Linked DNA regions of Caenorhabditis elegans. The protein of the gene in region 2 interacts with the protein of the main gene of each other region in a biochemical or structural test. Each region holds a gene or a part of one and is shown on either strand. Other genes may lie near its edges.

Region 1 (9,933 bases), on a different chromosome or scaffold from region 2:
AAATTCCTCCCTGCAGTACAAATTTCTATTAATACTAACAAAACATTTTGATATACCTTCACAATTGCAGTTTTCCTATCAATTTCTTCTTCTTCCTCCTTGAAACGAAGCAATCTACCACTAAAAGTTGTTCTTCGAAGCGCTCGTTCTGACATTTCTATTCTGAAATTTTTCCTAAATTATTACATTACAAATAAATTGAAAAATAGAACGTAAAATGAAATGAAACAAAAAAAACGACATCGGTAAAATAATAAAATGGGGAGGGGTATAGTGGAGCGTGTTTGCACACTCCAACTGATGCGTGGTGGTGACGTCAGGAGAGGAACGCTCTGTAGCCAAACACAATATACAACGTGTGCATAAATTGAGAAATCGATAAATTGTTTATTTGGAACCTTGAATAGCAGAAGTCAGAAACTGTTAGGCATATTTTAAAAAGTTTCAGAATACACAAATCAACAATCGTACATGATATCAAAAAAATGCTTGATGATCTCTTCCATTTTGTCTTATTTTATTTAAGTGTAATTAGACGTAGAACAAAAAAAGAAAATTTGAGCGGAAAATACAGAAAAATCACATCACAAAGGTATTTTGAACTAAATTGCAGCTAATTGTGGAAGAAAGGAATTGGTGACTCTAATATGGTAAAGCAACTGAATTCATTTGGAGTTTTTATTCAAGAAAGGTTGAAAATTCTCTTTTCAGATCCATTAAGTAAATCAAAGTAAGTCAAAAAAATCAAAAAGTCAACTTTTTTAATCGATAAATTTCTTTTTGGCAACTTTTATGATTAGGAAATTGTTAAGGTTCACTACTGAATGACTACGTTTTTGCAGGGGAAATTTCAAAGAAAGTATGGACAAACATTGATAATGCAGGTATTGGAAACGGGGTTGAGCACATGATCACATATAATAAGGAAACAATTGAAAAACTTTCTGATGAATCTTCAAGTTTCAAATTTCAAATCACAAGTCGCTATAATCTAGACACAGGCACGTTTTAGAGAGAGAGAGAGAGAGAGAGAGAGAGAGAGAGAGAGAGAGAGAGAAAGAGAAAGAGAGTGGTTATTCTGCTGATTAGACATTTATTGATAATGGTGCACCATTGATCCCACTCCTCGATTGTTATCGTTGCTAATTTGTAGATACTGGTCGAATTCGTGTGGATTGATATCCTGAAATTAGTCTAAATAATTGAGTATAATGAAAAAAAAACAAACATCGATTACATAATTGCTAGGCATATTATTATGCATATGTGGTTGATGCTGATGTTGTAGTTGCTGGGGGTGTGATACCATGGAATAATCGACTTCCATCGCACTGTCGTCGTTCATTTGACTCTGAAAAATATGTTTTTGATTTGTTCTCAAAGATAAACTTAAGTAATTATTAATATCAATTTGAGCTGTAACTTCAGCCGTTCCTTTAATTATTAGATATTATTAGATAGTCTTGGTTAAAGCATTATCAACAAATAATGGCTTTTTTTTTTTTGAATTTAAGGCACGTTTTAGAGAGACTTCAAAATTTTTCAGCTTACAAATGTCATAAGATTGGACAATTACGAATTTCTCATTTTACATCATAATAAATATCTTACATTTTGGTATTGATTTGGGATCTGGTGCAATGTATGCGGTGTCTGTTGTTGTTGAGAGTTTTGAGCCTGTTGTTGTTGTTGGTACATGAAATTTGGATCATGAGAATGCTGTAATTGGTTATACTCAATTAAATTTGTTTTAGTATCTTAAGAACAAATACCATCATAGTTGATGACATGGGGGAAATTGCTTGATATGGTGGTTGCGGACTGTCGACAAGTCCAGAATTGATCAGCTGCGCGTTCTTCTCTTGAATCATCATTCGTTCGTTTTGTAACTGCTGAATATAATCCATTTGCTGCTGAGAAGAGTATTGTGGTTGTGGATGATTGGGAATCATCTGCTGGTGCTGATGAATTGAGGGCAATGATCGAGACGAGTGTCCATTGTCGTAACAATTATTATATCGGTTTTGGCCAATGTTTTCTCCTAATCCAAAACCAGTTTGTTCTTGTTCTGAAAGTTGAAATAAATTAATATTTAATGTGAACAGATTGTAACCTTAGTTATTTATACTAATTTTTCTGAAGAAAAACAGGGTATAACAATCAGTGAAAACGTGTAGAAATGTTTTCTAGTATTGTCAGAAAAAACAGAGCTATATATGAATAAGACTCAGTAAAATGTTCGATGAAAATAGAGATTTTCAAAATATTTTATAAATATTTTGCAAACTTTTTTTGTTTCATCGTATGTTATAAATAAAACTTACGTTTTAGCCTAGGATCATCCCACGTTGTTGTTTTTGAGTTATGATCCTTAAAGTACCGAACTCCATCACTGTCGTAACACATTTCCCATCCTTGGGGCATGGGTAACTGCTCAACATCCTGTGGTGTCATAAATGGCCTTCTCATTGGGTCTAGCGATAAGCTCTTTTCCCGATTTTGTTGCATCATTCCTTGTTGTTGTGGTATTCTGAAGTTGATATTAGAAATGAAACAGAAATATTCTATGGCATACTCCGAGAGTCCTGCATATGAGTAATTTGCTTCATGAGATACTGATTTTACGTGAGAAGGTACTGGAGAGTAGCCAATAGTCATTGGTAATGCAGAAACACTCTGTAAAACTCTTTTTTAGTTTAATCAACAATCATAGTTTTTCTCACTTTTGAGTGTTGATGGTGGACATTGTGATGAGATGGATGTGGTACTGTTGCGGAAGATTGGCTACAAATATTTGTGATTTGAATTGTCTCAAAATAAATCGTTTACCCATTATTAACACTCGTATGAAGGTTCGGTGCACTGACTTGTCGTGTGTGAATCGGTGCTTGGTTTGATACCATATCCATAGCTGGGCTGACGGCTGTTCGACTACTTTCATCTACTGATCCCTGAAATTTCACCCGGTGTGTTATTCTTCAAAAATTTAAACTTACATAAGGGGAATGTGCACTGCTTCCCGGATTCCGCTTCTGATGGTAATATGATGAAGGTAGTGGATTTTTCTGAAAGTTGAAACGAGGCATGTGATTTTCAAAAAAAAAACAACTTTTTGCATATCCATTAAACCAAATTAATTATTATCCTTGTTTTGCGATATACCCCATTATCAACTGTAAAATCAAACTGTTACAAAAGTGTTGCGAAATAAGTAGCTTCTTTGTCAATTAAGGCAAGTGTGACGCAATCAAATAATAATTCTTGTTTCGTACGAACAATTTGACCCGTAAAAACAATTTGAGTGTAATGAAATGTGATCTCAATTTTTTTCAGTTCTATTATAGTTATATTATTTTTTAGAATTTGAACAAACCTTTTGATTTTGATTTTTTTCATACTTTTTTTCTGAGCATGAAATTAAAGCATGAATACTCTGATTTGGATCTAAATAATGATGCACTGAGAATTGGTTTTTATCTTGCTGTGAATTTTCTTGGTGCTTCTTATGAATGCTCTTGGACGCCATCCAGCCTGCAAAAATTGTATTTAGATGTGAATAAATGAAAAATTTGAAATAGTAACAAAAAATGAAGAATGTGAAATCAAGAAACAAGGTGAATCGTGCAAGGAACGAAAGAACGAAGGCAATAGGAAACCAATAATAATGTGTTACAAGATGGAAAAAAGGCAAAAAAACGCGAGAGAATAGTTGGGAGGACATGAAGATCGGAGGCGTTTCCATCCCTCACATCCGGCAAATAAAACATGATGGACAGACACCATTTCAATTTCAGTAAAATGGAATAAGGCAGCAAGAAAAAATAAATAAAACGAAACAACTAAGATCGAAACAACAACAAAAGTTCTCCCGATGCTTCTTCTTTCTCGATCGTTCGCCCCCGCCACGGATGTAAAAGGTCAGTTTTTGTATATAAACGAGAGGAAACGAGAAATAGAAAGGAAAACTAGAGGAAAAGTAAAGGGGGGGGGGGGAGTGACAGTTTAATACAATTGCAACCGAATCAGAAGGAGACGTCGACTTGAGGTGCGAGAGAAGATAGGAACACGAAATCGTGTGTCTAGAAGGTCAACCAATTGTTCGTGTATGTGTGGTGCGACTGATGCCTCCACCTTCTTTTCCTCTATTTTCCCCCACTACTCCGTCGTTCTTCCCAATAACTTATTATGATCAGTTCAGAGATAAGAAAAAAGATGGACTGATCCGACCGCAGGATTGTAACACTCGGAATCTGGGAAGAGTTGAAAGCTATCATCTACTACTGGAAACCCTAGCTGTGGAATAATTGAAAAAGTGCTTTTCACAATAAATTACATTGTACAAATTGATTAAAATAGATTGAGACAACTGCAATAAAAATATTTTTCAAACTAAATTGTTATGTTTTTTGAAAATTTGTTTTTAAGTTTTTCAAAGAAATTAACATTTTCACAGACCAAAAATAAAAGCTGTTGACAATATAATCAAATTGGAAACAATACGTGTTATAAAGGTAATTGCGCTTGATAATGAAGTTGATTAAACATAACTGGAACGACTGTCTTGAGATATGTACTTTCCTAACTAAAAGCTTAATTATCTTAATTTGAATTTTAATATGGCTCGCCATGAATTGTTTTATTCCCGGCATCATCAGTAAATAAAATGAATCAGATCGGTCAAGTTCAGTACTCACAAAAAAATCGGAAGCCAATAACTGGTCTCTAAAGAATTTCAGGACGCTCTGGGGATCCCTAAAGTTTTCACAAAATTTGTTTTATGAAATTTGATATTTGTTAATTTTTAAAATAATTTTAATTTCAAAATAAAATTTGTATTCTTTTGAGAAATTTCATAACATTCGGTTTTTTTTGAAATATAAAAAATATACAGAGGTCTATAAAAGTTACACAATGGTTTATTACACCTAACTTTTTTGATACTTATTGATAAAGTTTTTGGAACGGCTTATTTGAATGGTATCAACAGTTTTCTGAAAAAAAAACAATTATCAAAAAGAAGTGCAACTTAAAACAGAAGGTTGGGCTGTAGAAGTTGAACGCACCGTTCAACATTTGAATGTACAAGTGTTGAACTTCCTCAAAAATCTCAAAAAATAAATTTATTTGGAAACAATTTTCTATTTGTGCTACAAATTTAAAACTCAATAATAAATACTATTGGAGGCTCAAAAGTTGAACAAAAACCCATCCTTTACGTCACCAAACTTTTCAACAAATCAAGATGAAATGTTTCCAAAACGTAAAGAGTCGCAGAGTCTCGATCCTTTTAGAACTTATGTTTGTACTGGGTGTTACATACAATGCCACAAGTAGTGCACAAACAAATACGCCGTTCGCCTCTCTTTCTTCTTCATCTTCTTCGACTTTCCCTTCGATGGCTAACATCGTAGTCCGTTCCGAACTGATTGAACCGAAGTGAGATAAACAATCAAGTTGACCACAACATCTTCTAACGTTTTTTTTTTTTGCTGTGACTGATCACACTCTTTTATAAGTTTCTCAGGAGACACAGTGAGGCAACAAAGGAAATTTTCGGGTGTGGTGTGTCATCCAAATATGGAAAAGATAGGAAATTGAAAAGAGACGCAAAAACCAAAAAAAAAACGAAAGAAAATACAGTGAAAACTATGACGTTTCTAATTTTTTTATATGGTTGTGTTGTCTTTGGTATTATTTTGCAGAGTCGAATAGTTATCACTTGCGTTCATGCCGGAAGTGATGACGAGACAAACTAAATTAATGAAAAATATAGAAAACGGTTTGCAAAAACTACTGCTGACTTTTCAGGAAATAAATAATGTGAAATAAAACACATTCAGGTTTGCTTTGTGAAATAAAAAATTCAATTGGTCTTAAACGTTCTATCTTCTTTAATTTTAAATTACCGGAGTTACAAAACGGAAGTGTTATGAAATTGCATACAAAGTGAGGTATTATTTAATATGCATGGTAAAGATAACATTATTATCAAAAAGAAAAAATCGTTTTGAAAAATTGACTTAAGATTTTGATGTTTGAGGATGACATTTCTCGGACAATATATGTAGTCTGATACGCGAAAAACAAACAGTTTCACAAAAAAGAGCATGAAAAACTCAAGTAGTGGACAAGTGAGCAACAACACATCATAACCCTAGTATAGGAAAGTGACGGTTTTTGGCTCACATGACAGACACTTTCCGCCCACTCAATATCTACAATGAAATGGGAAGACTCAGTTGTGTTTTGATTTTAGTCTAACTCAATTGTCAGTGTCCATTAAAATTGTTCAAACATCAGACCGCACCAAACTGTTTGCATTTAGTCTTGAATGAAGTCAGTCGGTTTGCCTTAGTGCACAGAAGGGTCAAATTAGACTTTTAGGGTTCCTTGGATTCAATTTTTGACATTGTGTGAAACATATGACAACAACTATTACTCCCACATTTTTAGCTTAACTTTATAAAGGTTTTGCCAAAGGCAGCCACGGGCATTTTCAAAAAATTATAAACCATTTTATATTAGGGAAATTCTATTGTATCGAACAATTAATTAGAGTTCCTACACAACAAATGGTGTAAATTGTGAAAAAAAAGAAATTATATATTTTTATTAGGTAAATCCGAAAAGATCACTTGAGCATCTTTATTTGAAAAATTAGTCGCAGTTATATTTTGTATGGGAAAAAAATTTGAACGCACACGCAGTTTCCTTTAAACAGATAATTGCACGAGTTGAGTACGAGATGATTGAAAATAGTAGTAGTAGTAATTTATTAAACGATTTTGTTTTCATCAAGTGAAAAATATAACTCATGTTTCCGCCAATACCGTATTCTTTCACGGGTTAAGTTCACGTGATCGTATCCAAGCAGCTAATCATATTTTCCTTCCCGCCCCATTGAACACAAGACCTTTAAAAAGGGTAAACGAGACATGAAGAAAAAGTATAGACGTAGTGAAAGTGAAAATTATTGGTGGTAACAGTGAACCTTGGGAGACGTTATTTGTAAGAATCACTGGCTGATGAATAAAGGTTCTTTTTGTTTTTTGTCATTATAACGAGCGCATTTTTCATTTATAACGGAGACATGTGCAGCTCCGGGGAAAACCGAGAGAAAGAGGACACCCACGCGTGTCCGGCTCACCACTCAAGCACTTTATCATCCTTTACACCATCAATCTTAAAACTATGTTTCTATAACTCAAACTATTCAGAAAACATTTAAATGGCCACCGCGAAATGGCGTACTGTTCATAAAACGAAACATTGATTTTCCGTATTTTCCTTATTAGAATTCGAATTCTCGAAAATTATTATGATTTGAAAAGTTATTGCCTTTAATCAACACCAATACGGGCGTATTTATAATAAAGACTGCAAGTAAATTGCTCAATTGCTCAATATGAGTGAAACTATGAGTAGGGATTTGACATAGTTTTAATACAAAACGTTTTGTTTTGAAATTAATCAAAATTATATCTGACTATAAAACTAGTTTCAAAAAACCTGTGTAAAATGAAAACTCATGTTTTTTAACCTTTATAAGATGAAAAGATGTATCTTTTTCGACAAAGGTTGATTATGTTCTTTTTGATTATGTTCTAAAAATGTACACTTCATTTATAATTGAAGTTTAATTGTATTAAAATGCTCAGATTTTAAATTCGCTGAAAGTATCATTAAAATACAGAAATAATAAATCAATAATTTTGTTCGATTAGGTAATTAAAATAAATGAATATTAAATTTACTATAAAAGCAAGGAGAGACTTATTCGCTGTGTTGGAAACGAAACAAGCATACGCAATGTAAAGAATTTGAACTATTCGTGAAATTATATAAAAATTGAGTCAAAATCGACAACTTTGGGTGGGGTTGTCGAGGTGGGAAGCATGCCTGATAAAAACTGTATTTCTATCAGTGTCACATATTTATTTACCATCCATGTCACATGAGTTAGCATTTTCAACGGTGTTTAGAACGCTAAATGACGCTTCATTCTGAAAAAGTTAACATAACGATGACAAATTTAAAAAGTGGCAAATGTTGGGTTTCTTCTGCCAAAAACAGGAAGAAGGGAACATGGCAAAGAGGTGTAGTTGGTTTGAACAGTTTTTAACTTCCTGATAACATGTTTTCCGTTTAACATTTGAATCATGGGTGCGTGGAAATCGGAGATTTTCGGCAATATTGGCAAGTGCCGTAATTTCAATTGGCGAAAAGCAGTTGCCGCGCGCCTCTGATCTGCATTTAGAAATGCAATATACAGGGTTGGTTTCATTTATTTTTCTTGGTTGGGAACTTCGGAACAGTACAAAACTTTTCAGACATTTTAATGTGTACGTTGACAGATTTTATTTTATATTTCAAAATAATCACAACGTAATTGCATAATTCTATATTTTTACAGCCATAAATTCCACTTTTTGATGCAACTTTTCTGTTTTTATGTTGAAGAGTTCCACAAGACATAGTAGAATAAAATCTTAGTTCAACAAGTTTGTTTATTGTTTGGTGGCAAATTGACTGCCCACTAAAACTTGTAAATTTGTGAGGGTTCTCAAAAATTATCAAAAAATACTATATACTGAGGTAATTTAGAAAGAAAAAATCTTCAAGTTTTGCAACAACAGTAAGACCAAAAGATACTAGGTCAGTTGGTGGTAAGGCATATTAAACGGCCTTCATTTCTGAAGATCTCAGCGCTGCCTGTTTCGGATATTCCAAGACTTGACAAGATGGACAGGAAGAGACGGTTTCTTGTCATCGAAAATGGGAAGAAGACGATGAGAAAGTTGCGCAAAACAGATGAGTCACCGATTGGCATCGTTCTGACCATTTGGAATAAGGCGGTTTTTTTTGATGTGATGCCTCTCTCTCTCTCTTTTTTCTTTTCCACAACCCGCAACAATGGTGGTGGGCGACTGGTACTAAAACGGCTAAAAATAGAAAAAAAAACATAGAAAATCAAATAAAACTGATACGATACTTATCTGTGATTAGAAAAGATATATTTAATTAGACATTTTGTTCCGAACACCAACGCACATTTTGTAAATACCTAGTTTTTTGATTTTAAAAATGTAAACAATTCATCAAATTCACTCAGTTCAAAATGTTTGAAACGCCCCGCCAAAGGTAAACAAAATTAACAAGCTGTTCAGCTCATTGAGGCAGTTCAGCTTTCGTGGTGGCGCTCAGAGAAACTGAGAAAAGTGGAACAGTCCAAAGAGCACAGATTGCAAATACAATAATCTTAAAGGGTATTTGATGAAGGATCTGTTTCAGCATGAGCAAAGTTTAAAGATCAATAAGGAACAACCTTTTTTAATAATTCAATGAATCATCGGTAAGTGTGTGAGCGGTACAAATGGATCTTTTGTATTATCAGTATATTATCGGAACGCATTCCGGAAAATAAATGTTCATTGACTTGTTTAACTCCATTTTTATTATTTTTGGGCTCCTCAGCCAAACAAAGCAACAAAAGAAGCAACTTTTTTAAAACTTAAGTAGTTTAACTTCAAACTACATTCTGTTAAAAGATAAGGCCCGGAAAAAAATATGTATGCACTTATACATGTTTTTTATTAGTATACACTTTTTTTAACTAAAATATGATCTTATAAATTAAAAAATATTGTTTCTTATGGAAACAATCAACAACAAAAAAGTAATGCACACAAACTGACTACTTTTATAATACAAGTTATAGCCCGACCCATTTCCAGGTGACCGAAAATGTCGAGCTGTGATTTCAAAACCACATCACTCTAATTGATTTTCCTGGAAATGAAATGGTCTGCAAAAATAATGAAAACGTGCAAAATGCAGGCTCTAATTGAAATAATTGGAAAACATTAGCTGATTTGGTGCTTTCATTTTTTTCAGATAAATTCATCCAAGATTTCGTTGAGGGACTACAAATAC
Region 2 (12,379 bases):
TGAATTTTTGATGAGGATATCAATGAGGGAACACTTTTTTGAGTACATTTTGAAACATTGTCTTTGCAGTTAGAGTTTTTGCATTCAAGAAGAAGTAGGCGGCTAAGCCTATAGGCCACCTACTTCAAATAATTTTTCTAATCAAATAATGGCTTCAAAAATAAACTATCTTTAAAAAAATGTTTGGATCAAAAAGTCTAGACAGTCTAGTTTTACTAGTTTAGTTTGAGTTATATTACTTGAAACTTCGAAAGAAAAATATTCTGAAAGTTTTTTGAATTTTTTTCGGAGCTATTTTGCTCAAGTTTATAAAACAATTATAAAACAAATATTTTTCAATTAAATCAACATTTCTGAAAATGGTAAAAATGTTCTTTTTTAGACAGTCCTGGTAGACTGCGAAAAAAGGCGATTGAATGTTTTATTCTGAAAACTTGAGGCTGTTTGCAAGCAATTAAAATTTTTGAACATGCTGTTGAAGCTTCATATTTTCTAAAAACACTATGTATTTATTGGATTTTTAAAACAGTCTAAAATCATTAAAAGTCGACAAAAAAGACTACAAAACTTAAAAAAAAGCTCAATAAAAATAGAAGCTTCGAAAAGTGCGGAGCATACAACAAAAGAGAATGTTTAGAAAGTTGATACCAGTAGAAAAAGGAACACGGATAATTGATAAAACGAGAAAAGTGGAATCTACAAACAAGAGAAACACTTAAACACATGGGGTTTCCGTGTCAATACATAAACTTTTTGAGGTCAGGTGACTCCTGTTTCTTACAAAAAAAAACTATTCAAGTGCATTGTTTCTTCGATGATAACGAATTTTTGGAAATGCCAAGAAAATGGTGGAACGGAGCAAAAAACTTGAAGTATGAATAGGACACATGTGTTTTCGAGCTGTGATGCCACGAGGCACCATATGTCTCTGGCAAATGACGTGGCATTGTGATTTGTTGGGTGGGTAAATGGGCGAGAAGATGAATGATATGGGAAAATTCAGGGGAAAATAAAATTTCAAATTATTTTTGAGGTTTTATGACCAAATTTGTAGTTTTTAAGTTTGACAGCCTACTTTTTTAAAATTATTTTTACTAAACCTTACAGCCTAGCTGTAACCCAAAATCAGGTAGAAAAAATAGTAGAATCTTCTGGTAGACTACAGAGGTACTAAAATTTTTAGTCTTGTGAAAAAAGTACAAGAGTGAATACTATCATAAACCCTAAAATACCCTAAAATGTTTATTGGATTTTTCTCGCATACTAAATTTCAGAAATACCATCATACCATCTCATTTATTATCGCGCTTGCTAGTAAAACGGCCGTAATAAAAATAAACAAAATATTGCGTTGGGCCTTTATAACAAGATTCTTTGAAATCTCGAGAGAAGGAAGCCGGAACCTGTCTTTTGTTTAAAAAAAATTGTCAGTTTTTTTGTTATCGGTGTTGTGAAACGAAGCATTGCTTAATATTTAAGTTTAAGTTAAAAAAAAAACATGAAAAACCACAAAACACAATAAAAAATTCAACCTAGCCAGGTGAGACTCAAAAAACTGTTTGACTTTAAAAAATGAAACACCGAAAGTCTCTGGATGTAAAGTGCACCAATTTGCACTAATTTATGAAATTAAATAAAAATTGTTGCACAAAGACAACTAAAATCAATTTTTAAATTTAAAAAGTAGAATTTAAATTCAAAAAATAAACTAAACCAAACCTTCTTTTCCTCTTTTGATGCCATGTGTTTCTTTTGTTTATCGCCTGTTCACTTTTTCCATGTGATTAATTTTATTATTCAGTGACACTACTGATAACTAACCCTTTTGTTGCATCAAAAAAGGAAAGGAAAAAGGAAAGACACTAAGCAGTAGAAAAATAATGTTAAACTGAAAGAAACCACGTCCCGGGCTTGCAAACGGTGTCGAAACTCTGCGAAACTAGCATAGTTGGTACATTCACATCCAATCAATAAGTGGTAGGACTCCTTCCGACCAAAACGTCATAAAGATTGCAGAAGGCGAAATTGAACATATGCCAACCATGCTGGTTGAAAGTTGGTACATACACAAACTTGGTAGATGTTTAATACAATACAATTTCTCTGTCGGTACGCGAGAACATCTGGAGATGAACTGGAGATGTCATCTGGCATGCACAAAACAACTCGCACAAAAGAGAGGGGAGAACATAGCGATGCTGAAAGGGATAATAGACGGTCTGCGTCACTACAGTTTAACCTGTTTATCGCAGAAGGCGTAGGGAAAGGAGACAGTTATGTTGTGTGAGTCTCTCCACATGTTCACCCCCTAGAGGAGGCTCTCTTTGTAAACGCCGACTGCAGGCTCTGTTCATCTTTCCATCCGAACACCTAAACAACTTCTGTCATTCATTTTATCTTGTTTCACTTTTTATCCTTATCCTCCTCATTAGCATTTCATGGATTTTAAATCTTAATTCTTAATTCTTGAATTTCTTCGTTTCTTGACATTTCGTCAATAAAACTTGTTTCTTAAATTCCCTATTTTTCGAATTCGTCCATCCTTCGTCGTCGTCGTCTCGTCCCAAATCCCTTCCCATCATCCCATTCCATCCACCCGTCTTAATTCTTTAACTTCTTGACATTTCGTTAAGAAATATTGTTTCTCGATTTTTTTTTTTCAGGTTTACATCCAAGAACTTTTTTTCTTCAACATTCAGATCGAACAACTTTTTAAAAAACTAATTTTTCAAACAATTTTGCTTGATATTTGTAATATTTTCAAATTGTAAAAAACTCCTGAAACAATTTCAGATCGAAATTTTTGAGGTAGAGCTTTGCCGCTTAAAATTTTGCAGTAACATATCCTATGGAACATTTTCAAATGGCATCTTTCTCTCGCTTTGAAGTCTGACGGTAAAATGAAAACCTTCCCTTGTTAATAAAAACATCTTTATCGTAACAAAATTGCATCTATATTTTCTCTTTTCCTTTCAAGAAATATTCTCTTTTTAGCTTCAACTAAAATGTATCTTTTTACAGACCTCAATCAAACGACGATGCATGAAGGATGGATGGCATGGAAAAATGGAAGGAAAAATCCAAATCTGTAAGGATTTTTTGATGTTTTAACTAAACTGCAAGTTTTTACAGATGCTGAAAGATGTGATGGAACAAAATGGCGCTCAATGAATGGAAAGATCTGGACGATCGGGATGGATGGATGGATGGATTGGAACGATCGGTAGGGATTTGGGACGAAACGACGACGACGACGACGAAGGATGGACAAATTCGGGACGGATCGGGATGGACGGTAAGTGAATCCATCTTGCTCCTTCTTGTGAGTGTAGCGTCCCCGTTACGTTTACCTGGCTTGAACTGAACTGGTTTGCTTGAATCTTTCACTGTCCAATTTCTGAACCGGGTTCAAAAGTAGCAGGCAAGGGCTGCATTTTCGGATTTACTGCTACCCCCTGAGTTGATTTGTTTGGAAACAAGCAAATCTTGTACCGTACTCAGAGGCAGTGAAATCGATTAATCTCTTAATGGGAAATGCGAACTCCTGCGAAAATAAGAACAAGGAGACTGGAAATAGCGTCAAACAGACGAGGGCTTATCGGACGGTTCTTGCCACATAGGTAAATTGTAATGGGCGATGCTGCGCAGTTCTAACGGTACAGAACATCACTTGAAGTGCTATACGCTATACGCTATACGCTATACGCTATACGCTATACGCTATACGCTATACGCTATACGCTATACGCTATACGCTATACGCTATACGCTATACGCTATACGCACTGTAAATTCAGAGACTTTCGGTGTAATTCCGAAAGACGAAAAACCAGTAATAATTTCTCAATGTGATTGATTTTATTGGCACTACTGACAACTGATCCACTTTTTGCATCCAAACATAGAATGTTTAATTTCTAAAAATTTCATTGAATAAAAATTCATTTGAGCAAAAAAAAAACGAACGAAATAGTGTGGCGACATGAGAGAAAAAGAGAAAAGAAAAGAGATATTAAAAATATCTCGAATTCTGAAAACCGTATCGAGATCATCACAGAATTAGTAAAGAGGGTAATTTGGAAAATTAAAGATAAAAATAGAAGCAAAATGAGTAAAAAATGATACTAAAACATCACATTAAAATCATATATAATATAATCAATAAACAAATTCATGCTCTTTTAAATATGAGACGATGAATCTTCTTCCGACACTGACTCATTAAAAGTTCCGTTTTCAAGTAATGGCCGAAGTGACCGACGACGAGATGGTCGAAGTGATGGGCAACCAACAGAATCCGTATCAAAGAAATGACGATAAGTGAATTCATAGAAGGCTGGATTATGAAGACCTCGCACATTCGGCTTGTCAGCACGGTCATTGTCCTGGAAATTTGGAATTAGAAGTGTGATAGGTTTTGAAAGAAAACTTTTCAAGATTCCAAATTTAAGTTAAAAATTTGAGTAGTGAAACTCAATTATGTTTTTATTGGAGCTGCTATGTATAATAGTTTCAGAAACTCCACAATTAATTTACTTTAATTCAAATAAAAATTCTGTATTTCAAACTCAAATATTCATAATTTTGATGCTATCTTTTTTATGTCTACATACATAAAATTATATCTAACTTTTTTAGACACTCTAAACAAAGTTTAAAAGGAAAAACTCACTTGAAACGTTTCAAAATTAGAAGTGTCTTCATCGTGAGTGACCCGAGGAATATAAATATAATCAGCTCTCAGTTTTCTCAAGTTAACCCAGTCAATTCCCCTGAACCATGGATGATTTTTGACTTGTGCCGTTCGTTCGGCAACATCCTTCCCGTGAGATCCCAATCTTGACGACGCGTCACAAATTAGTTGCTGAAAAAGTTTTGGTCTTCACAACGTCTATTTAAACAAAAAAACTTACTTGAATCATCATAAGGCACTCTTTTGATAGATTTCCACAATATGTAAAATCAAGGAAGTTTCTCCAATTCTTAATTCGATGTTGTGTTCCACCAGGTGTATCATCATGAAATGGCACTCTTCCAAATACCATCTCATACAAAATCACTCCAGTCGACCACCAATCACAACTCTGATTGTGCCCGGTTTTGGCAATTACTTCGGGTGCCATGTAATTTCCTGTTCCAACAAGAGAATGGGCGGTTATCCGGCGGGTTTGTTGTCGAACATTTAGAACTTTAACGCTTTTATCAATAGCTGCAACTTCAGGAGGAAGCGAGAATGAATCGACACGATGATGGTCGTTTTCAGGTCCATAGTATCTAGAAAATATTGGATGGTTTCATGTGTGACTTAAATATTTTTTGCACAGATGTTGAGCACACCAACTACAATTAATCATTTGCGTCGCGCCTAGGCTCTATTCCATTAGACACCCTCTCTTTCTCGTGACAAATAAACAATACATAATCTTACCTTCTGTCATGAGTCCACCTCAAACCAGTGCACAATCCAAAATCAGTCAACTTAATATGTCCATGTTGATCAATTAGAATATTATCCGGTTTCAAATCTCTATGAATAAATCCAACATTATGAACATATTCAATTGCACATGCCAGTTCAGCAATGTAGAATCTAGCGAGATCTTCTTCAAATATTCCTTTTTGAATCAATAAAGTCATCATATCTCCTCCGGGAACATATTCCATTATGAAGTATAGACAAGCATCATCTTGAAATGAGAAGAAAAGACGAACAATCCAAGGAGAATCAGCTTCTGCCAGAATATCGCGTTCGGCTTTCACATGGGCGGCCTGAAAGAAAATGGTGTTTTTAGTCAAAAAGTTTTGAAATTATTTTTCGATCATATCGCTTTACAGTCACATTTTAAAAACTACTAGACTCACAATATATCTGATATATTTTCCTACTAGTAGCAAATATAGAATCAATTAAATTAAAAAAAAAAAACCTAGAGTATCAAAAATGTTAGACTTTGCAGTTTTCTTACTTTCTATTCAAGGTTTTATTTCAAACGTAGGACACCAATATTTTCAAATTTTTAAACCAAGATCCTAAACAAATAACAAATCCTACCTGTTGTTTCATTATGACATCCGCTTTTTCCAAACTTTTCATTGCATAAACCTTCCGAGTATCATTTTTTCGAACCAATGAAACTTTTCCAAATGCTCCAACACCAATATGTGAGATGACAGTGAAATGGCTTTTACTCATCTTTTGTCTTCTTAATCTCGTATATTTTGACTCTTTTTGTTGAAGTAATCCCAGCATTTTATTCCTCATAATATCCGGTAATTGAGCTGAAACCATCTCCTTTTCCAACTGTTTCATTCGTTTTTCTCGTTCTTTATATTGCTGTAGAAGTCGTTCAACATGTTGTTCCATATAAAATCGAAGCATATTTGGTTTACATGGTTGAACTCTTCGTGTATTCTTGATGTATGGTTCCAAAAGTGTTCGATCAATTGGGGAGCTGACTCGTTTCGGAGGTGGCTCACTGGGTTGATTGTATTGAGGAGGAGGAGGTTGAGCACGTGATTTCATTGTGATTTCGAGATTTCTTGGTTTGAAAAGGATCGGCCGGAAATCTTCATGATTTGCATCGGAAGTGGATGGAATCAGGCGAGGGTCGGGACGCAGCTGAAATCATTTTATTTTTAGGGTTTATCCCCGAACTTTATAACAATTATTGTTCTATTCATAAAATTCAACTGGGCTCTCGAAACCGATTCTAAAGTAGTTTTGCAAATTTTTGCTGATTATGGGTGTCTGCGAAGACAAAACTTTTAGTCTCTTATATTTTATGAGCTCTGTCAAAAAAATGACTCTAGAAATATCAGTTAAATATTTCAGAAGGTAGGAGTTGAATTTTTCTCAAATTTACCTCATCTTTATAGTTGACAAAATTCTTCCTATCGACATCAGCTGTATACCGTGGACCAATAATGAATGATTTGCTTGGAAGAGGACTATCACCAACATTTACTTTTGTCTGAAATTAAAAATGAATTTTAATATCATTTGAGGTCATAAAATACCGTATGAGGAGAAGCAACATTGATACTAACAACACTACTAGCTGTTTTTTTGTCCATTGATGTATGATAAAGTCTCTGGATATTATCTGCTTTTCGTTCTTCACTCCTGAAAAGTTAAAGCAAAAGATTTATAGAATCCTTCTGATATCGTTTAGAAAACTTACATTGTCTCGATGGAAATCGTAGATTTTGCTGGAGGAGGCGGTGGGGGTGCCATATTCTTGTTGTGATTGAGCATTGTTGGATTCGGTGGTGGCGCTTTTACAACAGGATGAACTTTCATATGCAGGTGAGTACGGTAGTTGTCTGTTGCAACTGGAGTCATTCTAGTGTTCACCGGAGATGAATCGTAGGCTGGTGGAGGTGGTCGAGACTGAAAATTTTCATTTATTAAAGTGTCAGGTCTGCCTACTAGGGGTGTTTGTGTGTACTTTATTGGACTCTTTAATTTATTTTACAAAAAAAATTTCAGAAGTTATGAACAGGTCACAAGAAGGTCCCCCTATTGCTTGAACTAGGAGTATTTTTCAAAGAAAGTTTTGGTCCATTTTCTTTTCAGCTTAAACTTTCAAACTTTGTCAATTTGGAAGTATATTTTGTTACTAATTTTAGTTGTTCACACGTGTCTCGCCGTTGATTAAAGTGCCTTTTCAGTTTACGGGTGCACTAAATATTATCAAATATGTGACCGAAAATGTAGCCAAATCAACAGAAAAACATGGAACGAACGACCAAAATATGAAAAGTGATAATCGCATTGACAATTTGGACTTTTTTCAAAACTGAACCACCGCAAACCAATTTTTTTAAAACAAAATTTTAAGTGGGACTTCTCAGAAAAAGTACTTTCCGATTCTTTAGTATTATATTTTTTCGAGAACAACTTACATATCCTGGTGAGTATTGTGGTGCATTGTTATTCATATGATATGCAGGAGTTGGCATATCATATCGATATCCAGCAGGATGTATCCTAATCGACTCTTCAGTTGTTGTAGAAGGTGTTGATGATATAGTTGTTGATGGATTTCCATTTCGAATCATCTCTTTTCCACTTCGAAATACTGTCTCATTGGCACCAGTATCCATCATTAAATGTCTTTGTGGCATTGGTGTTATCCGCATCTTGTGACCACCACCTTCTGTCTGAAAATATGATTTTTTCACTTTTGAACCACCACCCTTCACCACTTTTGAAGATCATAAATCGATTCATAGTTGACAATTTTCATAAAATCCCAAAGTTGAGCTGAGCCACCTATTTCATAATTTTTTATTCAATAGAATTTCTAGCTAGTTTGCTACAATTCCATTCTTTTTTTTTTCGAAGAAAAATATGACGCTTTCGGCCGGTCTATGTATAAATTTCAAAAAAGTTATGTTTTTTTTGGGCATACGAACTGACCTAGACGGAAAATTTGACGGACAATTTTCCCAGCCAATCGAATTTTATTTTTTACTCTCAAAATGTTTTTCCATTCGATTTCCAGGACCATTTTTGATTAAAAAAAAAGAAATGTGACTCACTCTAAAAGAATTCGAATTTGATACAGCAGCGCTCGAGACTGTCGTCGTCGTCGCTGCTGCATTTGAAGAAGAAGACGAAAAATTCATCACTTCCGCATTGTCATTGGTGATGTCAGAATGGCTGACGGAAGAACTTGACGGTGTTGCAAGTGATCCAAGAGCCACGTGACTTGATAATAAACCGGCTTCATGTTCGTAAGCTTTCAGCGATTCGCGAATTTCGTCGAGTTTTGCACGATGACGCCCCACGCGGATTTCCTGGAAAAACAATTGGTTTAATTAGTTATGCCAAATTATGGTACCACTGCCCAGATGCGAATTTTTTAGAATTTTTGTAAAAAAAGGATTTCTTTAAAGCAAAAAACTTTGCGTTTCTATGGAAGTTTTCAATGTTTCAACACTGAAATTGTACATTTTTCTGAGCAATTTATATATTTTTCATATGAAAAATACTGATTCATTGATTACGAAACTATTAAAAGGTGATGCTTCTAAATGGAATTTTAGGTGATTTCATTTTCTTATCAAAACCGCCATTCCAAGTGATAACGTCTGCCATGAAAGCCCCGCATTGTCTCGGAACGCCAAAGTGTTGAATAAGAAAGGGTGAAGTAATTTTGAGGATTTTTTTTTAAATTTTAATGAGTTCTACGAATCTTGAACAGATTTTGAAATTCAAATCAGGAAAAAAAAACATGGAACTGCAAAAAAAAATGATTTGCGATTATAGATGTATTTACAAACAATAGCAAAGCCAATATAATTTAAAAGAAGACCTTTTGAATAGGACCCCACAAAAAATTTAGCAACAGAAGAGCATTTTGAACTAGAAAAAATTGGTCCGAAAATGCTAGAGGTAATTTTTAAGTTAAATAATTTTTTAAACGGAAATCTGAAAGCATTTTGATCGAGTTGATTAGGGGGAGAACATTTTTAAAAATTTTATTAAAACTCCTAGAATTTTCAATTGCTCTTAATCACTGAAAAACAACATGTCTGCAAAAAATAGCTTTTGGAGCAAGTCTACAGCTCTCGAAAGTTGTGAAAAGAGCACTAAAAAGTTTCAGATCGTGACACTTTGCCGCTTAAAATTTACAACGATCTAGTTTAAAGGTCCTCTTTCAAATGACACATGGTTCAGCTGAAAATCTAGGGAGTGATCAAGCCAAACAGATCAAGATCTGAATCAATAACCCAATCACTTTTCCAAACCAAAACCTACTGAATTGTGATGGGCATCTATCGCTGAATTAGTAGAGCCAAATGGGATCGGAGCAACTCCACGTTGATGTCTGATATCAGAAGATGCACCATTTGGAGTAGTACCAGGGGCAGCAGGTCGCATTCCAGGGGAATACAATGCAAAGGAGGGCCTCCTGCCGAACACTGACAAACACACACACGGAGAAGGCGATGGGAATGGATTGAAGTAGAAGAAGAAGAAGGTGAAGAGATAGAATGAAATGATGAGAGAGACAGTGATACAAAACTTTCTGTGTCTCTTATCGTTATGTGGTCTCTTTGCTTCCCGCCGCTCTCTCTCTGACTCCCGCAGGAAGAGGAGAAAAGTCTTTACTCTCTTTTGCAGGACATCTCTCTTTGTCTTATTCTCTCGTGTTGTCTCTTCCAACATTCCTCATCCCTCGTCACTCTAACATCTCTCCCCGACTCTCCAACCTTCTAGTGCTCATTTTCTGCCGTTTAGTTTCCAACACATTTAGGACGCCTGTGTCTCGGAACCTCTCGCCGTATCATCAGCGGCCATCATCGCCCGTCGAAAAGACATACTTGCCGGTATCCCCCCGTCATGTCATCCAGCAGAAAGCCTCTCATACGGTAAGTTTTTAGAAGCTTTTTATAAAACTCTGTGTTTGAACAAATATTTTTAAAGATGTTTTCCTGTTTAAAATTTGAATTGAAAGCCGATTTTGAGAACAACTTCGAAGTGTTGAAAATTTTCCGGATTCAAAAATGTGCACAATTTGTAAAATTCACCAGCTTTACTGAATTTAAAACAAATTTTTAACATCTGTAGAAAAGGGGTGCTCCTTGCCCTCGCCGGTAGTGGAGAGGCACTCCAGGCGCCCCTGTTACTGTCGACTGTGCCTGCGTACTTTTGAGAATATATATTACCTTCAACATCTATATTTTAAATACTGAATATTGGAATTTTCCGACAAAAAAATTACTCTGGCTTAAATTCTCAACCAAGTTTTCAAATTGTTTCTGTAATTTTGCATAAGACCCAGTAAGTGCTATAGTACATCATCAGCTTTTGTAATTGAATTAGAAATACGTACTCAAGTGATTTTAGGTTAAAACTGGAAATTGGAGTTGTAATTTTTTCACTGGAATGATAACTCTATATATTACTACTGAAAGAGTCACAACTCTGTAGTTTTTCTTATTTAAAATGCAGTTTTGAAAAAATAACAGTAGACATAAGCTTGATACTCGAATTTTCTTGTATTGACTCAGTTTTCTGTGTTTTTATGAATTTTGATGATTTTTTAAATCAAACAACTATGCATTTCCTCTAATTCTACTACAAATCCCCTTTAATCTCCGTTTTTTTGCATTCGTCAGCCTATCAAAAATCGATGTCTCTTTCCTTTTTGTATCTATGACATCCACGCAGTCTTCCGTTTGCATAAAAACGAAACGGTGCGCCGCAGATGTCGCGTGGCTTTTCCCTTTTTTGTAACCATTAAACAAACATATAGATACATAGAAGGACAACGTTTAAATAAATATTCAATTTTTTTTCTTTCAGGAGCAGTTCACACTCGGATCGTCCTACTACAATGAGGAATTGGCCCCTTTTTGTATTTCTTATTTGCCTGGTAATATAATTAACAAGAAGTCAATGAAATTATACACTTTTTGCAGGTATTATTCTTTTACGCATTCTACGTATATCAAGCTCAAGGAGAAGTTTTATCCCAGACAAACGAAGAAGTTCGACAACTATCCGCCCAGCTGAGTCTCACCAAAGGAAAGCTTGTTGGTTAGTAATTTTCTGCCGTTTATCTGAAAATATAGTATCGTTTCTTTAGGAAGTATGGCAGATTTGGAATCAGCGAATAGTGAGAAGAAGTCAGTGTCAATTCAATTGGATGATATTACAAAGAAGAACGAAGAGTGTATGACATCCTTGAGAAATACGAAATTGAGAGTTGATACACTTGAAAAAGACGGAAAATCGAATACCGATAATTATACGTGAGTTGGGGAAAAATAACTACAGTAATAATCTACACTACTCCAATCAAAAACAATTCAACAAAAATCAACCTTAGAGCTCAGTTCATTAATTAAATGAATATATTTCTCCCAAATTTAAATAACCAACACTTTCAGAAAAATGCAAGAAGAACTATCAGCGCTCAAGGAAAAAGCTGAAGAGCTTCAACGAAACAACACTGCATTGAATTCTCTTGTCTCCACACAAGCACAACTCATCAACCAACTCAATCAGACTATTGGAATGTAGGTTTCAATTAACGTTACCAAAATATAATTTGTTTTTATTTTCCAGTATTCAATTCGAAAAGGAAGAACTCAAAAACGCTGCTCACCTTAACAACTTGACTCCAAAAATCGAGAAGCCAAAGGATAAGCAAGCGGAAGAGCAAAACGCAGAAGAGCAACATAAGGAAAAAGAAGTTACTGTGACGACTGTAACCACACAACATTCACGGGAAGAAGCTCAAGTAAAAGAGGATAATCAGGCACAATCCACAACAACAGTTACATCAACGGAGAGTCCTGTTGGAAAGTTGGATGAGAAGAATCCAGAGATTGAAGAACCTGAGCCAATTGTCGCCGAGCCAGA

What was found.
Region 1: the proteins of wts-1 (region 2) and yap-1 form a complex in vitro, tested with the Caenorhabditis elegans proteins (one study listed by BioGRID).

The regions. Positions count from the first base shown.
Region 1 is NC_003284.9:10,685,541-10,695,473, reverse strand, and holds yap-1 (Yes-associated protein homolog 1), read right to left. Parts: upstream 3,532-9,933; 5' UTR 3,527-3,531; coding exon 3,374-3,526; intron 3,066-3,373; coding exon 2,997-3,065; intron 2,952-2,996; coding exon 2,830-2,951; intron 2,785-2,829; coding exon 2,724-2,784; intron 2,677-2,723; coding exon 2,576-2,676; intron 2,531-2,575; coding exon 2,325-2,530; intron 2,069-2,324; coding exon 1,773-2,068; intron 1,720-1,772; coding exon 1,612-1,719; intron 1,352-1,611; coding exon 1,229-1,351; intron 1,184-1,228; coding exon 1,094-1,183; 3' UTR 501-1,093; downstream 1-500. Other genes in the region: plpp-1.3 (Phosphatidic acid phosphatase type 2/haloperoxidase domain-containing protein), read right to left, coding at 1-10, 57-155. UniProt on the Caenorhabditis elegans protein: Plays a role in thermal stress response and in aging.
Region 2 is NC_003279.8:10,287,958-10,300,336, forward strand, and holds wts-1 (Serine/threonine-protein kinase WARTS homolog), read right to left. Parts: upstream 9,971-12,379; 5' UTR 9,890-9,970; coding exon 9,767-9,889; intron 8,803-9,766; coding exon 8,545-8,802; intron 8,164-8,544; coding exon 7,906-8,163; intron 7,391-7,905; coding exon 7,182-7,390; intron 7,124-7,181; coding exon 7,018-7,123; intron 6,972-7,017; coding exon 6,864-6,971; intron 6,620-6,863; coding exon 6,053-6,619; intron 5,770-6,052; coding exon 5,429-5,769; intron 5,275-5,428; coding exon 4,914-5,274; intron 4,865-4,913; coding exon 4,673-4,864; intron 4,386-4,672; coding exon 4,182-4,385; 3' UTR 4,122-4,181; downstream 1-4,121. Other genes in the region: T20F10.2 (Si:ch211-1a19.3), read left to right, coding at 10,352-10,380, 11,318-11,387, 11,434-11,551, 11,601-11,766, 11,905-12,033, 12,083-12,379. UniProt on the Caenorhabditis elegans protein: Phosphorylates yap-1 which may negatively regulate yap-1 nuclear localization. Plays an essential role in larval development.